Linked DNA regions of Nothobranchius furzeri. The protein of the gene in region 4 interacts with the protein of the main gene of each other region in a pairwise test. Links are inferred from orthologs where the notes say so. Each region holds a gene or a part of one and is shown on either strand. Other genes may lie near its edges.

The links. The genes of interacting proteins can lie anywhere in the genome.
Region 1: the proteins of vimentin (region 4) and nod2 interact in binary tests that used the Homo sapiens proteins (3 or more experiments, as listed by UniProt). The link is inferred for Nothobranchius furzeri from reciprocal best matches to the Homo sapiens genes VIM and NOD2.
Region 2: the proteins of vimentin (region 4) and ess2 interact in a two-hybrid assay, tested with the Homo sapiens proteins (2 studies listed by BioGRID and IntAct). The link is inferred for Nothobranchius furzeri from reciprocal best matches to the Homo sapiens genes VIM and ESS2.
Region 3: the proteins of vimentin (region 4) and sirt6 interact in a two-hybrid assay, tested with the Homo sapiens proteins (2 studies listed by BioGRID and IntAct). The link is inferred for Nothobranchius furzeri from reciprocal best matches to the Homo sapiens genes VIM and SIRT6.
Region 5: the proteins of vimentin (region 4) and txlnbb interact in binary tests that used the Homo sapiens proteins (3 or more experiments, as listed by UniProt). The two-hybrid records come from large-scale screens. The link is inferred for Nothobranchius furzeri from reciprocal best matches to the Homo sapiens genes VIM and TXLNB.

Annotation. Positions count from the first base shown.
Region 1 is NC_091749.1:70,956,391-70,960,555, forward strand, and holds the start of nod2 (nucleotide-binding oligomerization domain-containing protein 2), read left to right. Parts: upstream 1-1,355; 5' UTR 1,356-1,491; coding exon 1,492-1,968; intron 1,969-3,010; coding exon 3,011-3,137; intron 3,138-4,165. UniProt on the Homo sapiens protein: Pattern recognition receptor (PRR) that detects bacterial peptidoglycan fragments and other danger signals and plays an important role in gastrointestinal immunity.
Region 2 is NC_091746.1:52,059,082-52,063,341, reverse strand, and holds the start of ess2 (splicing factor ESS-2 homolog), read left to right. Parts: upstream 1-1,450; 5' UTR 1,451-1,674; coding exon 1,675-1,818; intron 1,819-2,047; coding exon 2,048-2,216; intron 2,217-2,888; coding exon 2,889-2,972; intron 2,973-3,082; coding exon 3,083-3,252; intron 3,253-4,260. UniProt on the Homo sapiens protein: May be involved in pre-mRNA splicing.
Region 3 is NC_091751.1:57,913,096-57,917,116, forward strand, and holds the start of sirt6 (NAD-dependent protein deacylase sirtuin-6), read left to right. Parts: upstream 1-1,211; 5' UTR 1,212-1,285; coding exon 1,286-1,351; intron 1,352-1,658; coding exon 1,659-1,786; intron 1,787-4,021. UniProt on the Homo sapiens protein: NAD-dependent protein deacetylase, deacylase and mono-ADP-ribosyltransferase that plays an essential role in DNA damage repair, telomere maintenance, metabolic homeostasis, inflammation, tumorigenesis and aging.
Region 4 is NC_091751.1:47,677,137-47,681,106, forward strand, and holds the start of vimentin, read left to right. Parts: upstream 1-1,167; 5' UTR 1,168-1,315; coding exon 1,316-1,845; intron 1,846-2,023; coding exon 2,024-2,084; intron 2,085-3,970. UniProt on the Homo sapiens protein: Vimentins are class-III intermediate filaments found in various non-epithelial cells, especially mesenchymal cells. Vimentin is attached to the nucleus, endoplasmic reticulum, and mitochondria, either laterally or terminally.
Region 5 is NC_091758.1:20,072,789-20,077,029, reverse strand, and holds the start of txlnbb (taxilin beta b), read left to right. Parts: upstream 1-1,431; 5' UTR 1,432-1,554; intron 1,555-4,166; 5' UTR 4,167-4,205; coding exon 4,206-4,241. UniProt on the Homo sapiens protein: Promotes motor nerve regeneration. May be involved in intracellular vesicle traffic.

The sequences.
Region 1 (4,165 bases), on a different chromosome or scaffold from region 4:
ACTACACATTGTCTCTTTAAGATCCTCCTTCTCACATATAAAGCTCTCAATAATCAAGCTCCATCATACATCAGTAACCTGATTGTTCCATATGTTCCTAACACGGGCAACAACCTAATGGAGCGACGGTGGCACAGGAGTTAAGTGCTTGCTCTGTAAATGGAAGGTTGCAGGTTCGAGCCCCGCTCAGTCTGTCGCGGTCGTTGTCTCCTTGGGCAAGACACTTAACCCACCTTGCCTGCTGGTGGTGTTCGGAGGGACCGGTGGCGCCTACGTACAACAGACTCACCTCTGTCAGTGCGCCCCAGGGCAGCTGTGGCTACAATGTAGCTCATCAACACCAGTGTGTGAATGTGTGTGTGAATGGGTGAATAACTGATTGTGTTTTAAAGCACCTTGGGGGGTTCCAGGAATCTAGAAGGTGCTATATCAAATACAGGCCATTTACTATAACAGAGCACTTATATTTTTAATTAAAATATAGCTTTTAAAGGAAATATTGTATCTTCATTCTGCACACCTCTAAACGCCCCGTGGAGGTATTATTAAAACAATGTATAGCTTTTTATGAAATTGCTCCATATTCAACCTTTAATGTACAAACTACTCAAATAAATAAAATAACATAAAAATACAAGTAAAAAACAATTGAGTAAAAAAATAAAGCTAGTGAAAAACTGAGTAAATGTTTGACCACAACGGCTGATTTAATTTATCCACTTTTTAAATCAGATAAATACATGTTTTAAATGATATGTTAACTTATTATTAGATAGTTTTAGGGGCAAAATTGAAGATAAGTAAAATGTAATAACCGCACTTTAAGATGACAAATGAGCCCACAGGGGCGTAGATTTGGCATCCAGCGATGACCAAATTCTCCCCACCATTAGTCTGACTGCCAACGTTAAAAAAAACCAACAAGCCAGAGGAGCAGAAAGGGTTAAAGGACCTACCTCTGTGTTGCACATGGCCAGGATGAGATGTAGGTTTATCAAGTCCCCACAAGCAGATGAGCTCGAGCCTCCTGGTTTGGTTTTTGTTGTGGAACACCGCCATCTAGTGGCTCCAACACCAAGTTACAAGTGGTTTAGATCTGTGTTTTACTTTTGATTTCCCTGAAACACATTAGTGTTGGTTTGTTTAAACATTTTAAACAATATCCTGTCAAATCAAATTCATGAGGATGCTTAAGCTTTATGGTAGTTCAGCCATTGTTTACTTTCTGCTCCACTGGAGCTGCTTGGCAAACAGACCAGGTTTCGGTTTTTAGACGAGGAATGAGGAAGAGGTGGTTGAACGGTCCTTTTGGGTTGATGAGGGCTGGAGAGAAGGCAGTCAGTCGCTTTGTGTTTACAGGTGAGAGCGAGTCTTCTAGTCTGTTGAAGGGGGACACTAGAGGAAATCTGATTTCTGTGCTTTCCTGATGGACTGGTTGGTACCAGATGTGAAGCTGAAGGATTGAAGCATGGGAGCTGATAAGACTGAAGCATGCTTGCTCAGGAGCTGCTGCTGAAACAGCGTTCAGAGGTTCTCCACGCCCTCTGCAGGAGCGGCTCAGCTGAGCACCTGGAAAGGGTTCTGGACGTGCTGCTGGCTCAGGGGGAGCTGGGATGGGAGGACTACCAGAGCATTCAAGTCCCGGGGAGGGCCCTGCACACCAACGCCAGGCAGCTGCTCGACCTGCTTTATACAAAAGGTGAGGAAGCCTGCAGAATCTTCTTCGCTGCTGTCAATCAGGTCTTTCCAGAAGGCCAAAGAGTTGGCCTGTCCTCAGGATGTCCCCCACCTTTAGAGGACAGAGTTCAGAAGACGTCTGCAGAGACAGTTCTAATACAACGGCTGAGTTTGGTCTGCAAGCTTCAGGACTGTGTGGATGGTGCTCTGGAAGCTCTCCTGGAATCAGGTCACTTTTCCTCAGAGGAACGAGATGAGGTCCTGCTGCCTGTTCACACCCCGTCTCAACAGGTAAAAAAGGCATTTGTAAACACATCTCCTCCATTTTGTGCTCTTTTGTCACTTACTGTTTTTGATTGACGGAGGTAGCTGGTGCAGAATACGGTTTCCAAGACGACTGGATTCATATAAGTAGGACATATCGTAATATGACTAAACTCACCTTTGTGCCACCACCTATAAACACTCCAAACCTGAAAGTGCCCGTCCATCTGTCGGGGTTTGGCTTCAGGGAGTATTTGCGAAATATAAACGGTTTGAAAAAGTCCCTGTTTGTGATGTCATAATAAGGGAATCGCTGATTGACGCAGACATCAAAGGTCAAATGTCCATCAGCAGGATACCAGAGAACCAAATTCATGATTCCATCAGTTACAACCAGTCGTCAAGAATCCCCAAAAGGGTTTAAATGTTGTTCTGGGTTCTTATGTTCTTGGATTTCTAGAACAGGTCATGATGTTGGCTTTTTGAGATCTTTTAGCCTTCTTTGTGGTGTCAGGCAGCTTCTTTTGAAGGGATTTGAAAACTTGTTTTGTGAAACATAGTTTCACCCTTATGTCATCATGTCCTTATTTGGGCTGTACCAACTTCCTGTTTAGTCCACTCTAAGATGCTAGTTTGGAGCTTTAGAGCTCTGCGTGGACGAGAACGTCCACATCTCCAGCAGGTCCCTGGGGTTGTTCCATCTGGGTCTGATGGAAATTAGGGTTCTCCCTCTGATCCTGAGCCTGTGGCTTCTTTTTAACATTCATTCTGACCCGTTTTTTTTAGGTATGAAGTGATTTATCTGGAAAGCTTTGGTGTAAAAAGCCATAAACCCGCAGACGGGTCAGACATGTGACTGAAGGATAGAGGAGATTTTAGTACAGCGACTGCTAAATTAGGGTTTTACTTCTGCACATCACCTCGTTTCCTCCACAGCTTCCTGTCTGAAGCTCTAATCGGGTGCGCCGAGCCGTTTCCTGTGCAGTTATCTCCTCTAAAATGTGAATTTAAAAAGTGGAACTGCTGCTTTCGGCCTCGGGTAAATTTGTTCTCGTTCAAACCCAACCAGGCCCGGCGTTTGCTCGATCACGTCGGATCCAAAGGGGAGTCTGCGGCGTCAGCTCTTCTTCAGTTCATCCAGCGAAGACAGGAATCTGGATCCCAGCAGAACCAGAGGGAACTGGAAATCCCTAAAGGTATCGTGTCTTCCGGGTCAAAAGTCTGCCAGTCCACCTCAGCACCAAAATACTCTAAAACTATTAAAGGTATTGGTCCACCAGACCGATATGTTGGTTGATTTGTCCATTGATTCATATTTTATTTATTCTGAAGTGTAGAAATGTACAAATATTAGCTAAAGAGGTTCCTGAACAGCCTCAGTGGGGAGAAATAGGGTTACATGGTGGCACAGGAGTTAAGTGCTCGCCCCGTAATCGGAAGGTTGCAGGTTCGAGTCCCGCTCAGTCTGTCGCTGTCGTTGTGTCCTTGGGCAAGACACTTAACCCACGTTGCCTGCTGGTGGTGGTCGGAGGGACTGGTGGCGCCAGTGCTCGGCAGCCTCGCCTCTGTCAGTGCGCCCCAGGGCAGCTGTGGCTACATTGTAGCTCATCCCCACCAGTGTGTGAATGTGTGTGTGAATGGGTGAATGACTGATTGTGTTGTAAAGCGCCTTGGGGGGTTCCAGGACTCTAGAAGGCGCTATATCAAATACGGGCCATTTACCATTTACCATTTACATCCTACAGCTCTGGTTCTCAGGACCTCGTTGTTCAATGAGTTTGGAAATTAAGGATGATCCAGAACTTTGGTAAACAGGAAAATTATTTTTATTATAATTGATATAATTGATAATTGATAAAGGCTAAATTTAAATATTAATAATAATGCATTGAACTTAAATAGCTCTTTTCTAGACACCCAAAGACGCTTTCACACACTCTCACATTCACACACTGCTAGTGATGGTAAGCTACTTGTAGCCACAGCCGCCCTGGGGAGGTCTGACAGAGGCGAGGCTGCCATTTGGCGCCGTCGGCCCCTCTGACCACCACTAACACAGGCATGTTGGGTGAAGTGTCTTGCCCAAGGACACAACAGCAGGATTCCCCTGGCGGGAGCTGGAATCGAACCCACGACCCTCCGATCATGAGGCAACCCGCTCTACCACCTGAGCTACAGCTGCCCCAAATATTAGCTATTGACTAGTAGAACAGTCCAAGTAGTT
Region 2 (4,260 bases), on a different chromosome or scaffold from region 4:
GTTTTAAGAGGAAATTCTGAAATAGGCTATAGCTATTCGTATGTTTATTTTGAAAATTCTAAGTAATTTTACTGGAACGTTGGAACAATGAAAACACATTAAAACCAAATCAATCCTGCATGCAAAAAAAAAAATAAAAATAAAAATAAAAACCTAATTATTATAAATATGTTTTTTTAATTAAAGAAAATCATCTTTTATTTAGCATCTCTCAAGATAAAAACTCACGAGGTGCTTCACAACAACAGAAAATTCAAAATACAAAAAAAACTTAAAAAATTATTTAAAAACATGGTTAAAATTAGAAGAAAAACATAAAAAACAGATTTGTGATTTAAATGTGCAAGGAAAGGGAAAAAGAAAATGAATAGGAAAGAGGGAAATCAGTGGATCCCGGATAAGGCGTAATTGGTTTAGAGCAGAACAAGGAGAAGGTGATGATGAAGGTCACACCAAAACCAGCTTGAACAGGTGAGTTTTCAGCTGCTTTTTAAAGGAGACCACTGAGTCCACTGATCTCAGGCTCAGAGAGAGAGTCTGGGGGCCACAGCAGCAAATGATCTGTCACCTTTGGTCTTAATTAAAGTATCAATACCTGATGACTCCTGGAGCATCATTAATATTTACCTCATTAAAACATTGTCTTTTAACATTTGATGAGTGTCATTTTTGTTTGAGCCACTTGATTTTTTTATTTATTTGCTTGATAAAAATCCTTATGAAATGTGATAAGAGCAAGATGATCATTAAAACAAACGGATTGAAAAGCTTTTTATTGTTTCTTTATTAATAAACTCACCAGTGCGTTAAATCAAAAATCCATCATGTAAATTCATTCTAAAACATTTTACTACGTTTTAATTAACTTGGGCAATAATAATAATACATTCTGATAAGTTGGGATGCTGAGTTGCTGATAAATTTGAACAGTTTAAACTGTTTTAATGTTTTTCATTTGTTATTCATTCTGTCAGTTTGTTTGTTTGTTTTTGGTCAAATATCTTCATTATCAGAAAAGCTTATCATCATAAATATTCACACATAATTATATGAATACTGTCTGAGTATGTTTGCATCAAACTGGAGAAGTGGAGCAGGTATGTGAGAGAAATGTTGAATAAAAGAATAAAAAAAATTTGAAAGAGTAAGTAAAATGAACACAACGGTTTGGTTTAAGGATTCAGAACATAACTTTATGTAGACTTTTAAAAATCAGTTTTTGTTTTCGGATGCTGAAAAAGACCCGAGGAAAGATTGTCATTCTAAGTGAAAAGACTACGATGGGATCATGCATCTCTTAATGTAAAATTCCAGGTTTTTGTCTTGTAGATTTGTGATATAACTGATAGTATCATTTATATTCAGAATATTTTCATAAGCCTTTTATACTGGAAATTAGTTTAGAACAATAACTTCCGGTGACGTACTCGCTTAAATTGCGTAAGAAGAACGTTTTGTGTTGTGCGTTGGTGTTGTGGCTAAAAGTCAGCCTCTAAACCATATATATATATAGCGCCATTCCCACCGTGTGAAATTATTTAAAACCTCGGTTACGTTTTTAACGGTATTTATTAAGTGAAAAATCGTTCTCAGTTTTTTTTCTGAGATTATTTTCTCGTTATTCTCGTGACTCGTCTCTAGCCTGAAGGCTAACGCTAACTCTCAGGCTCCACAATGGAGGGTAGCAGTAGCGTGAGGAGAGCACTGTCCGGGACTCTCGTACCTCCAGCCGTCACGACAGTCGCTGTCAGTCATCCCGAGAACAAGGAGAAGGACACGTTGAAGAGAAAAATTCTCGATGAAGAGGAATACATTCAGGTAAGGGACTTGAAACAATATGAGTTTAGGCTCCAGTTAAAAACGGCCCATTTGCTAATAAGGCTAACCAAAATTATTTCGACTGTTGCTTGTTTTATTTTGTTATGGTAAATGATATTATGAAGGTTTAATCATAGTTGTTAGTACAGTGACAGTTTGGTGGATAATTATATTGGTAATAAAACGCTTCCTTCTGCTGTTAATTTATTCATGTTTGGTCTCTTGACAGAGCTTGGAGAAAATAATCCAGAGGGACTTCTTTCCAGATGTCACTAAACTACAAGCGCAGAAGGACTACCTGGAAGCAGAGGAAAATGGAGATCTTGAGAGAATGAGAGACATATCAATCAGATATGGATCATCCTTGACCAAGTCTACCCCACGAACGTCCGTACCTTGTGAGTAGAAACAAAATAATAACTGTTGGGATTCAACACACCTCGTTTATGTTTATTTAGCAGATGCTTTTGTCCAAAGCGACTTACAGGTGGTAATCAAGCCAGCAGGTTGCCCTCGAGGCTAACAACAAACACTATTCAGTCAATCTTGGCAGACAGGCAGCATAACCAATCAAAGAGGGAAGCGAACATGGAGTGTGCAGTAGAGTGGGGGACGGGTGCTGGGAGGGTGCTAGATTAGAAGATGCTCTCTTGAAGAACTGGGTCTTCAGGATTTTCTTGAAAATCGACAAGGAAGCCCCTGTTCTAGTAGTGCTTGGTAGGTAATTCCACATCTGTTGAACAATACATGAAAAGAGAGCATGGTGTAGGTACTGCTAGCCGACGATCCTTCGATGACCGGAGTGGCCGGGCCGTGACATAAGCCTTTGCAAGAGGATTCAGGTAGATGGGAGCTGTACCATCCAGGACTTTGTATGCTAGTGCTAGCGATTTGAATTTTATGCATGCAGCTAGAGGTAGCTAATGGAGATCAATGAATAGAGGGGTGACATGCTCTTTTAGGCTAACTGAAGACCAGATGCGCAGAAAACTGCTTCTTCGTTTTCTCTGCTCACTCTAAAGTAAATATTGATTGTATTGTTGCTGTGTTTTTACTTTTTTATGTGCAAGATGTGACTCCTGCCAGCTTTGAGACACCAGTGGGTCACCCAGGATCTCCCTCTACAACTTACAGTAGTAAAGGTTTAGATGCTGGTAAGTTATAGTAAAAAAAAAGTTTTTACTCTCTTTTTTGTTATAAGAATAGACATGTACACATTGAACTGCAATTAATCGTATTTTAAAAACAAATTATTTATTCATAGAAAAAAAGAACAATGACCAGGAAGAGAAAACCCTGCCCAGTTTAGACCGTTTTCTTGCTAAAAATACCAGTGAGGACAACGCATCCTTTGAGCAGATAATGGATCTGGCAGAAGACAAGGAGAAGCTGAAGCATGCCTGGTTATATGAAGCAGAAGAGGAATTTAAACAGGTTTGTCCTAAGAAGCTTATATTTAGTAAAAATGTCTTGATCACAAAATATCTCAAACTATGACTTTGATGGACCTGTTGATGGTTGCCATGGTAATTTTCTTCTCAAATTAACATTTGAATATCTCATAAAATAATATGTAACTAAAACACATGAAAAATATCAGAGAAATATGTTAAAATAAAGCAAAGCTGTTAAACTGAATTAATTTAAATTCCCTTCTGCACATTAAATTACCTTACATACCTCCTCCCATCAAGTAACGCTGCCACTGTAACAAACAGGGTTTAGCTAATTAACATGAACCCTCTAGGGTCATTGGAGGAGTCTGATTTGAGTAAAAGGGTTAGGGTTAGATCTTAGCGGTTGTTTGATTGAACATCGTTTCTCCAGTTTTACCCTGACCCACGTTGGGTCTCAAAACACTAAATTAAACTCAAATAAAACTTTCAAACAATGATCAAATAAGATATTTCCAAGCTATTTTTGTAAAATATGAATCATAAGCATATAAAAGTGGTATGAGTTGAAGTTGTTTGTGTTCCAATTATGTTCTTGAATATTTGGCCTTTTAATTGTTTTTGTCTTGTTCAGCCATCAACATTTGGGGTCACAAGTTATTATTTTGGGGGTCAGAAGGTTGAAAATCTAATAATTTTACACATAAATCATCTCACTGCTAGATTCAACCGAAGTATTTTGTTGTGTACTATTTTATGACACATCCTGTTACTTTACTAGATGTCCTACAGCAGGATGGAAAGGACCTTGGATCTTTGATTCTTGTTTCCAGTAAATATTAGTGAGAAAAACACAGCTGCTGTCTGGGTTGTTTTGTTGGTTGGGTGTGTTGTGTTGTGTTTATTAGCTAACAAATGACATTAGCTAAAATGATAATCTAGTTGTCATTTAACTTTTGATTAGGTAATAAACAAACCAAGTTTTAGATGATGTGGAGCTTTTGGGTGGTTGTAATTTGGACAAAACCTTGCAATTAGTGATGCACCG
Region 3 (4,021 bases), about 10 Mb from region 4:
GCTCCTCATATGAACATTCTTACTAAAACATGAAATTGATCTCTGCTGGGTTTTTATCTTGGATGTGTTTTTCTGTCACTCAGTGTGGGGTTGTGTTTTTTTGAATGAACTTGTTATTAAAGTTGTGTAATAATCAAGTTGTTGAAGGTTAGAGGGGCAGAACTAATTATTGATTAGAATTGTATTTCTCCTCAGCGTTGCTCTCTGAGCCGCCTGATGGACCCGAAGAACTAAAGCAGAGTGTAAATTAAATTTTAATACGCTTTGCCAGATGTTTCTCTTTTTGCTTTCTTGCAGGCCCTATGATTTTAGTTTTTCTTTGTTAGATGTTCGGCATGCACTGGAATAGGTAGTCTTGTGTCGGTGTGTACTACCGAGATCAAACTTCTTCAGCCCTACAACTGAAAATGAAATGTTAGCCCCCTTTATTGATTTATTTTTTTGTAAGAGTGGTTTTGATTTTGTTTTTAGAGTGTGTGGATGTCCTATGTGTAATTTTGTCTTCAGTAAGCATTATTGTTTTATTTACTTTAATTGGGACATCATATTGAATTACTCAGGATAAAATTATACGCGACAAAACAATTGAGACGAGCAACTCCTTTCCTCTTTCGGTGGTCTTCAGTGTCAGTTCACAGCTTCTACAGGAACCATAATCCAATATGCACACGTATGAATGATCACCATATGGTTTTACTTTTCTGTCTGTTTTTTTTTTCTCAAATATTTAAAAATGAAAAATAAAGATTAATTTGAAAGAAAAATGCATACTGTTTTTAAAGCTTGGAGTCATTTAAATGATTTTTTAAAAGTTGTTCTGCAGGTGAAGATGGAAGATTTTTGTTTAGTTTTAGTCTAAATGTAGTCATTTTACAGATATGTTTGAGAATAAATGTCCTTGTTTGTGGAATGTCTGATCAGGTTAAATCCCATTTTTAAAAGGCACCGAACCGTTTTGTTCTGTGGGATTTTTCAGTTTTTATTATCAGACTTTTTATTCTAATATATTCAGTTTCATTGTGTAATTTGGATTTAAATTTTTACTCAATTTCTAACAGCTGTACGGTCTAATCTAATCTCTACCACAAGTCTAAACTGGTCTGAACGAAGGTGGAGCGCACGTTGAGGTATTTTAATTCCTGAAGTTCTTGAATGCAGCATGTGTCGGCGCACAGTGATGTCGTCATTCAAACGAAGCACCCTAAACCTGGCTGGAAGAAATACGCAACAGATAAAACAAGAACAGTTTGTAAAACAAAGAAAAAAAAAATAAACAGTTACAGTCATGTCTGTGAACTACGCTGCAGGACTATCGCCTTACGCGGATAAGGGTGTTTGCGGTCTACCTGAGGTAACATTTAGGTGTTGTATCGCTCCGAGAGCTTTTCAAAGAGCTAGTTAAATTAGCAACGTAGCGTCGCTTTCATTGAGAATGCATTTTTGTTTGGTTCGTTTAAGAGTAATAATATAAAGACGGTGTTGTAGAGCAGACCGTCTGTGCTGTGTTAGCCTCTTTGTTATTTAACATAAACACTATGAAGCACGGTGGAGGATAGATGATGGTGTGTTCTTTTGTTGTTGCCACACATCTGGCACGGTTGTATACAATAGTCGCCCCCTTGCTAATTGTTTAATTGTGTGTTTTTGATCTGTGCCAGAGTTTTGATAATCCGGAGGAGCTAAAAGCAAAAGTGGAAGCCCTCGCTCAGCTGATTAAAGAATCTCAGTACTTGGTTGTCCACTCTGGAGCTGGAATTAGCACCTCAGCAGGCATCCCTGACTTCAGGTGAGAGACAATATGTTTGTTCCTGCTAATGATTAAAAGCATTCTAGCGGATTTTTCCATTTGATGTGATCACACACACCTGAATTCGGATCTTCCACTCATCAAAGTGGTACAGCTGGTCCTCATTTGGTAGATTTCTTAGCTTTTATTTTGTCTTTATGACTGTAAAAGAGTAAATCTTGGTTCTCATATGTGCAAACTAATTTTGAACAACTTAATCAGCTTATGATGGAAGATATGTATTGTTTATGTTTATGTATTTAGCAGACGCTTTTGTCCAAAGCGACTTACAAGTGATAATCGGCATGTTGCCCCTGAGGCTAACAACAACAATAACAACAACTTGACATCAATAATTGTATTGTATTGTGTTATTAAAGGTGTGGAACACTGGAAACCATTTTTTAAAATCGTATTTCTGATTACAATGGGTCACTCAGAGTTTTTCATGCAGGCTGAACATGAAAATAGTCTCCTACACCTATCTCCTGCATTGGCATCTGATAGAAAATAGATGGTGAAATGCTAGGTTTTTAAAAGCCTGACAGATCTACATTACACTGACTCTTAACATCCATGGACTCACCCACCATGGCTCACGATTTGGAAGGCCTAAGCCAAATTTATACTTTTCCATCTGCGTCAGTACGGAAACACGCAACACCATTATCCATTGTTGAGAGGGCTTTCCAACAGGCAGCCAAGGACGGACAGAGTCGAGCCCACTTTTCTAAACACAGCAGTAGCTCAGGAGGTAGAGCGTGTTGTCCAGTAATTGGAAGTTTGCAGGTTCAAGCCCCGCTCAGTTTGTCACTGTCATTGTGTCCTTGGGCAAGACACTTAACCTACCTTGCCTGCTTGTGGTGGTCAGAGGGATCGGTGACGCCAGTGCTCCACAGCCCCGCTTCTGTCAGTGCACCCCAGGGCATCTGTGGCTACATCGTAGCTCATCCCCACCAGTTTGTGAATGACTGATTGTGTTGTGAAATGCCTTGGGGGGGGGGGGGGGGGGGGGGGGGGGTTGTATGACCCTAAGAAGGCGCTATACAAATACAGGCCATTTACCATTTAAACATCTGTTGAACAAGACAAGAAACTACAAGCTTACCATACCATAGTTTGTTTATATAGCACATTTAAAACGCAGCATGGGAGCTGCCCAAAGTGCTGCACAGGCTGGACCAAATCACGACCCATCAAAGCAGCAACAACAGAGGATAAAAATGCCGATCAATAAAAGCAAATAAAACATGAGGAATACTAAGAACACATCAAAACAATAATACAATAAAACAAAACGACTCACGGCGTAAAAGCCAAATCGTAGAAGTGGGTGTTTAAACGAGATTTAAAAACCGCCAATGATGGAGCCTGTCGAACTGTAATAGGTAGAGTTTCACAGCTTTGGGGCAGCATGTACAAATGCTCGTTCACCCCATGATTTGTAACGCATCGGGGGAGTGCAAAGCAGCAGGAGGCCAGCCGACCTCAACGTGCGCGTGGGTACATAGGGAGTGAGCAGGTCAGAGAGATTAGGAGGTGACAGGTCGTTCAATTCAAGTTTATTTATATAGCGCCAAATCACGACAAGAGTCTTCTCAAGGCACTTCACATAATAAACATTCCAATTCAGGTCAGTTCATTAAGCCAATCAGAAATAATGTTTCCTATATAAGGAACCCAGCAAATTGCATCAAGTCACTGACTAGTGACTTTACAGCAATCCTCATAATAAGCAAGCATAAAGCGACAGTGGAGAGGAAAACTCCCTTTTAACAGGAAGAAACCTCCAGAGAATCCTGGCTCAGTATAACACACACACACACACACACACACACACACACACACACACACACACACACACACACACACACACAGACAGACAGACAGTAATGTGTCTATAGTTACATTGTGATTTCTTAGTAAATATTCTATTTGGTGAGAGATAAACTTTATTGTATTTATCCTAGTGGATCTATAATTAAACGGATAAACTAGCAGTAGCACATCCAACGTCAAGGAAAGCAAAACGTTATTATCAGGAGAGGGAGAATGTTTGAGTGGTTAGCAGCATTGTGCTAGACGATGGCCCCCTCCATGAGGCCACCACAGCTCAGCAGAACATCATTGTAGCTTCTTCTTCGTTGAGTGCTTTAAAGACAAAAATCAATACCTTAAACTGTACTCGGAAAATGACAGGGTGCCAGTGAAGATGTGTCAGGACTGGGGTAATAT
Region 4 (3,970 bases):
AACAATTGCCATATTATGATTACATGGCCAACCAGAATTTGACATGTAAAGGGGTTTTACCAACCAACCTCAGATACACACCTCCCTCAGATACAGTAGCTCTGATTTGTGGATCAGAAAGCAATGTGTCATGAGATTACTTTAGTCATATGTATGAGTGTGTGCTTGTCAAGTCACGTACGTTGATTAAATATATGGGTCATATATTTCATTTCATCCTTATTAATCTAAGCACAGATTAAACAAAACATTTCATTTAACCACATTGTTTATTTCATTATGTGATTAATTAACTCATATGAGCTGAAAGTGTTCACTTTTATTCAGAGGCAGGAGGAATCCTGTAGAAGCGATAAGAGAAAGCTTAAGGCCTTGAAACGGGAACAGTTTTGTTTACAATATGTTATCCATGTGTTCAAAGCTGCAGAGGCCTGAACTTCAGCTGATAAAATAGCAGAATTCAGCAGATTAAAGACACTAGATGTAGACTCATGTCTCCATCTGACTGGATACTGAAGAGGTCAAACTGTGGATGAAAAACTGACCATTTCTGGACGTTACAATGGAAAACAAAAGATTTTTGGATATAGAAAATGCGACTGATTTTTAGCGGTCTCTTGTTTACTGTGGCAATGTGGGTTCTGGTATCAAGGGACTTGGCTTGGGGATGATAGCCAAGGGAGGGGTGAGCACTCCGTGACCATGTTTGTGTTTAAATTCTAGTTTGTTTTAGAGATTTGTTATTGCAGGTTTAAAGTGACAGAGCTCTCAAATGGCTCATTCTGGAAGGTACTGAAAATGTAAAGAATAATAGTAATCACTCCTTGTGAGAGAACATTATAAACCTGTTTTGTATTGACCACAGATCTATTATAACTATAAGTTAAAAAGTAATAATATGTCCCTTTATTGAGTTATTTTCCACTTATAAGGTATTTTTCAAAACTTTATTTAAATGTATTGAAATGTTAACCTCACCCACAAAACGCCTGTTAACTTTAATAGATTTTATTTAGAAGCTTAGACTCACCACTTCATATATCAAGTAATTGAGAAAAAGGGAGATTTTTTTTCCATCCAAAAGAGCTTTGTGACCTTTCTCAGTTTTGTTGTGCACCTTAGAAGGCATCTGGCCTCAGAAAGCCAAGTGTGTGTTCTGATCTAGGATTGGAGTCTGGGGGTGTCAGTCAAGTTCTACTTGGCGCTTTTTGCAGGAGGAGGGGGCTATAAATAAGTTCTGGAGAGGGAAACGCCTTTCTAGGGCACCGCTGATGCTGCAGAGGTGAGGTGGACACTCTCAACAGAACCCAGTAAGATGTCCTACAGACCAGCTCCTCATTCTTCCTACAAAAAGATGTTCGGAGGGGACCGAGCCACGGCCCGGACCAGCTACTCCAGCCGCCAGTTCTCCAGCCCGCTGCGCTCCTCTCGGGTCTCCTACGGGCTCTCCTCCGCTCCGACCACCGTTTACGCAATGAAGACGCAGAGGCTCCGGAGCAGCGCGGCCATGCCACGGCTGGCCTCCGAGAACCTGGACTTCTCCCTGTCCGACGCCATCAACAGCGAGTTCATGACGAACCGCACCAACGAGAAGGCGCAGATGCAGTCGCTCAACGACCGCTTCGCCAACTACATCGAGAAGGTGCGCTTCTTGGAGCAGCAGAACAAGATCCTGCTGGCGGAGCTGGAGCAGCTGCGGGGCAAAGGCACGTCCCGGGTCGGGGATCTCTACGAGGACGAGATGCGGGAGCTGCGGCGTCAGGTGGACCAGCTCACCAACGAGAAGGCCCGGGTGGAGGTCCACCGGGACAATCTGGCGGATGACATAGAGAGGCTGAGAGAGAAGTAGGCGTGGCACATGTGGCCATGATTTCCTTATTGTTATTATTCATTTCTGCAGCTGTTCAGATGAGTAAGAAGTAAAATCAAAGAAGACAAAACTGAAAAGAAGAAGCATGGAAGAAAGCTCCTGCTTATGCTAAATATAAAATAACAGCTTTCTCTGTGTTCTCCCCTCCTGCAGGCTGCAGGATGAAATCTCCCAGAGGGAAGAGGCAGAGGCAAACATGCAAAGTTTTAGACAGGTATGAGATAGAATGATGACTTCAGCTAGCTAAAAAATGTTTCTGTTTTGTTGCAAAATTGCTCAGCTTTAATCAATCAATCAATCAATCAATTAATCAATCAATCAATCAATCAATCAATCAATCAATCAATCAATCAATCAATCAATCAATCAATCAATCAATCAATCTTTATTTATATAGCAACTGCCTTTGCAGGAGGCCAATACGCTGAGCATATAATACACTTAAAACATGAAGTGTAAAAGCAGCATAAAAGCATTAAACCAAGTCACATAAAAGCCAAAGGATACAAATTAGTCTTCAAATGACTCTTAAAATCCTGTAATGATGGTTTAATATCAAATGGAAGCTCATTCCAAAAGAAGGAACCAAGACCAAGAAAGCCCGAACTCCTCTAGATCTGTACCTAGTATTTGGGACTGTCATGTGAGGGAGGAGATGGCAGACAATGTGTGGTGGAGAGTTCAGGAGGCAGGAGAGCAGGCACAGATGAAATAAAAATGGATTTAATAGTAAACGGGAGCGACAGGACAAAACGAGCACATGCACATACAATGATCCGACGAAGACTGGTACAAGGAGGGAGATATAAATACACAGGGAAATCAGGAAGAGCAGAGTAATGAGGGACAGGTGAGAACAATAAGGACTAATCAGGGCAGGAGAAAGACACAGTCAGGAAGGCAGGGGCAGAACATGACAGGGACAGTCAGTAGCGTAGAATTTGTGATGGGGTGTCTTTTTATTAGTTCTGCCAAATATGGTGGAGCATCACCATAAAAAGACCAGAAGATATAGCAGAGAACTTTAAACTTTGCCCGAAAATCTACAGGGAGCCAATGTAATGAGGCCAGCACAGGAGTGATGTGTGCCGACTTCCCTGTCAGAAATCTGGCTACAGAGTTGTGAACCAACTGCCCCCAGCTTCTCATAACTTTGACCCAAAATCCCCAAATCGATGACGCAAACCTCCAACTGTGCAGTGGAGTGCATCCCTTTTCTCTTTTAGGTAATCTGTCTAGTTTTGGCTCATGAGCCACAGAGGCAGGAATGCACCGCTCTGATGACACAACAGCAGGTTCCAGACATGATTCCGAACAGTTAAAGAGTGCCCTGGCCTGGCTGGTACAAAAGGCCAAGTTTGCTCTGCTCGATTGGAGTCTGACTGGTCTGATGTGGTTATCAGAGCGAGAAGACGGGCCACCGCGTGATCCGGCTGTCTCGTTCACATAAGAATTTCTCTTGTTATGGTTCTGTTCCCTGTCACTGGTTTTCCAGTTGATAGGTCATGTGAATAGAGTTATATGGCGGTTACTGTACACAAATAGGTCAAAAACATCACTTTGGTGAATAACTTAAACACATAAATACACATTTTGTTGATTTTATGTTTTTTCGGTGCAGATTTGGGCTTAAATCAGGTTGTTGTATGGCAGGAAGGAATTGCATGAGTGGTCTGCCTCCGTGGCAAACAGACAACAATGTTTGGCCAGCAGCCGGCTCCTGCTCAGTCAGGCAGACAGTCACTCTTCCAGCCTTTGGGCATGTTTTGGAACCCCTGCTGAATGGTCCACATTGTTTGTGGCATTAACACATGGGCAAAGCAGCTTCTGTTGCTGATACCTCAATCAACGGCCTGCCAACGCCCCGATGAAGCTGTGCACTGGCACAACAACAGGTTTGTTTCATTATGGGTTCTGTCTTCCAAAACAAAAGCTTCGTGCTTAATTAAGTGGAGGAATGAAATAATGACTAAACATTCCATCACTGTTGGAATTTTTAATTTCATTCAGAGAAACTAGAAGGAAATTTCACAATAAACATAAATTTAGCTTATAAATGGGCTTAAGGACCTTTTTAATTATGTGGTTTGAATGAGACCC
Region 5 (4,241 bases), on a different chromosome or scaffold from region 4:
TTGTTGTTTTGGAGCAGGCACAGCTAACAGCTAGCCTAGCCTAGCGAACTGGAAATCCCTTTCAAACTATAAATTTACAAATATTTAGTAGGAAAATACATTATAATAAACACAGATTTGCTTTGTGTTATTACAATTTTAACAAATAGGTACTGAAACAAAAACTGAACATAAGTGAACGGGGCTGTCAAAGTTATTTCCTGGTCCGCTTTAGCTTACGCACTGAATCACAAATATGTTTTACTTCAATTTAAATGATAAATAATTATGTGTTTTGACTATGTCTGTCACGTAATTTGAGATTTATTTGCTTAAAAAAGTCATAAATAAAAAAATTACAAAGCAGAAGTTGCAAACTTGCAAATATGACGTCGGCGCAGAATCTCATCTCCCTAGCGTAGCTGCTACTTTGCACGTGGCCAGATTTATAACCTTAACTCTGAAAACATATTTTTTATTATTATTTCTGATCAGTCACTAAGTTATGCTGGCTGAACATGAAAATAGTCTCCCACACATATGTCCTGCTATGGTGAAACAAGGATTAGAAAAGCCAGTCAGTGTTAGAGGTGCGTTGCTGTTAAGTAATCTGAGGTAAAATGTCCAAATGTCAGAAAATAAGACAGCTGTGATGAGGCTCACTTTTGGTTCCTGGAAATGCACCGGTGCCCCCCCCCCCCCCCCCCCCCCCCCAAAAGATGATTTCAATTTTAGATATGGTATATTTATTTCCCCACGTTTAGAAAATGGATTCCTACATCAAAGAATTAAATTAGACATTGGGCCCTGTCAACAGATATTAATCTCATATAATCAGAAGGAGGAGAATTTTTTGTGGTCTGTTTATTACTTTTTACAACGTGAAATATAATTATTGAGAGTAATATTCAGTTTCAATGGTGCTGAGCTGGATAATGATGCTGGATTATCTCCCTCCCCAACTACATCGGTCTCTCATTATCATTCCACCTGTGCGGTTCACAACTGTTTAAATTAGAGCCCATCATTCACTTTCTGTCTTTAGGGAGGCAGAAAAAAAATATCTCCAGTGTGAAACTTGTAATAGCTACATCTGGTGGCGAAAATTGAATACTGCAGCTGCAGCGTGGAGGTAAAATAAAATGGGTGCTTCCAAAAGTAGTGTTCACCTTGTAGATAGTTTTCAGCCGCTTTCAGAATTTAACTGTCAGCTCAAAATCAGCAGATTGTGTAAAAAAATAAAAAAAACTGAAAGAAAGGCTTATCAGGCCAGTCTGAGAAACAGCGTTTTCTCTTCTCTCCTGCTCAGTCTCTTTTCATGACTAATAGGAGCGAAGCTTAAAATTAAATCAGCACTGCGTTGATCTAAAGTAGCAAAGGTGCAACACCAAATAACGAGTTTTACTCTGAGGTTTGCAGCAGAGATGAGCTGCAGAGCGTCCTCCCTCTCTGAGCAGTGAGCTGCTCTCTCCTGGTTTATTTTGAGGGGCTCTTATCACAGCTGTTGCATCAGTGGTGGCCGCCTGTCCGAGCCCCTCCACACTCTTTCTGTTCCCCATCTGGCCCTCAGTCCTGGTAAGACCCTGCCTGCTCTTTACCCTGCTTCTTTTCTGATATTTGCACACAAATAACATAGAATTCTTGGTTTCCTAACATCTGTCTCACACGTCTAACAAACGTGGGACTGACTCCAGTGGCGGTTTGGAGTTTGCCAAGTCTGTTGAAGATGAGATGCTGTTAATTGCAGTGAGACTTTCCTGCGTCATTTGCTGTCAGAAGTTAAAATTGTCTGCTGGTGAGAGAAAAGGGAACATTTTAACCTCTAATGAAACGCTGCATAGTTAAAAGAGTTTTCCTACACATAGCTCTGTAAAATTTCCATTTTAACATGTACTTCTTTATAAAAGCGTTAAAAGATCAGAGATATTTGTCTTTATTTGAAGTTTAACCACAATAAAAAGATGTTTTCAAGAAACACTGACCCTGACATAAAAAAAGAGTGGAATAGAATTAAATAATAAACAACATGCCCATATTAAGAAGTTCCTAAAATAGCTTGTGGGTCTGGAACAGGTGCCATTTGCTCTTCTTGTGAAAGCTAATTATATGCATCTAAACAGGCTCTGGCTGCGAGTACGACTCCACAGATACAAGCATGATGGACTTTACTACACCAGGAAAGCTTTGTTCGGGTTTATCACCTCGCTGCTGCAAAGACATTGAAATTCATATAAAAAAAAGGCATTCAGATATTTCATCTAGAGCATTATTTGGTGCGTATTTCTGTTTCTGCAAAAGAAATGTGCACCAAAGTTATGTTTTTAGTCTAATAAACAAAAACAACTTCAGCAGCATAGAATATTTAAATAAGAAAAGCTTCTTGGTGGTGGAATCTGCTTAATTCTGATTAATCTGTTATGATTTCACTCAACAATATGTATGTGAAATCTCCAACCAGTTTTCTCTGTAAATCTTGTTAGGATCTGCAAGGTGCTCAAATGGAGGAAAAACACTTGATATGAGGTTTTTAGACTGAATTTCAAGGTGTTGATTTTAATGTCAGGTTACATAGTTGAAGATTTCTTTATCATTTAAGTGCTGCTAATTTAGGCATCAAACACACAAAAATTCAGGCTGTAAATGTACTCGTTGTTGCTCTTAAACATCACAGGTTTGGATACTGTAGCTGTTGTGGATAGCACTGAACAACCTCAGTTTGGAGAAGCAGAGATGAGTTCTGACTGGACAAATGCTGATCTCAGTGGGGCAAGTCACAGACTGATTAGGAATATCTCAAAAGCCTCACAGTAGTTAGTGTGAATTAACTACATAAGACTCTGGTGGTTTGCAGCAGAAACTAGCTGCTTTAGCATTTCTGAAATTAAATGCTTAAAAGGCTACGGTAGACCAGCTTGTTTGTCATACCAGAGATAATTTCTGTTCCTCTTAAAGCCAGGCGTTCTCATGTGAGAATCTTTGAGGTTGAGGCGAGTTTGGTGTTGTGTGTCCAGTAGTATACAGGGATTACGAGAGGCGATTAGCACCGCACGACCAGCTCCCAATCAGTAATTGCACAAATATCAAACATGTTTGATATTTTCCTCATCCCTCGTGAGGTTATCACACTGTTGGAACAGCGCTGCGAGCCAAAAGTACCAGAACTGCTCACACAGCGCATGCACCAACACGGCTCGTCAGCTATTTTCGTATCAACTCAAGCTGTATTACTTATTTTTATACTTTTCTCTACACACAGTGACAAGGATTGTCAAGAAAGTGTGTTTTATGCCAAATAAAACATTGTTTTACTTCCTTTCTTTTGTCTTCCTTCTCAAACCCCCATAAACCCCATGTTGTCCTTCTATGGCAAGCCCGAAGGATAACACACATTAATAACATAGTTTGAATATGTTCATTTTTCCAAATAAATGCTGAAAAAAAACCCACCAGTAACAACACAACAGGTTTTAGAAATCGAAAGTCTGACATGTTGCGTAAAAACGACTATTTGTAGCATATTTTAGCTCCGATGTGTTGCTAGCACACATACAGTGTGAACAGTACAGTGAGAGAACATGTGAGCTTTGCTCTGCGAGGAAGTCATCCAGTTTGAGATGGAGCTGAATGCTACGAGTGAAAGCCACACAATGTCCACCCGTCCTAACTGATGTTGTCCAAAAGGCTTTATGGAGGATGTAAGATATTCATTGCTTTTGGCCTTTTAAGAGAAACACTTCAAAAAGCGGAACCCCCGCTTTTATGATCTTTTATGGTTTTCTTTCCAGTAAACCACTTTTAAAGTGGCCTAAATTGTACAAATAAATCAGATGTGGCTACACAAACTAATTGTCACGGTGTAGGAGGTGGAGATGATGGACCGCTAATTAGGGAAACATGGGCAGGTAAACGAGGGACAGGTGAGAACAATAAGGGCAATCACGGCAGGAGAGGAACACAGTCAGGTTGGGCAGGGGCAGATCGTGACACTAATATTAAAAAATCCTAACATGTTTTTTGTTTGTAATGGGGAGACTGTTTCTATAAAACCTCAGATATGATGTTTAATTCAACGATGAAAACAGATTTTTTTTTATGTGAAAAAGTGATCAAAGCATTTTTGTTGTGAGATAACAGACAGAGCAGCCGTGATCTGTCTGTAAATGATTTATTTTTGGTCTCTCGTGCAGAGGCAACTGTCTCCTTTGTGTTGCTACTAGCTCAGAATAATGGAGGCTTGTCAGGAGAGCAGCACTGCCCCCACC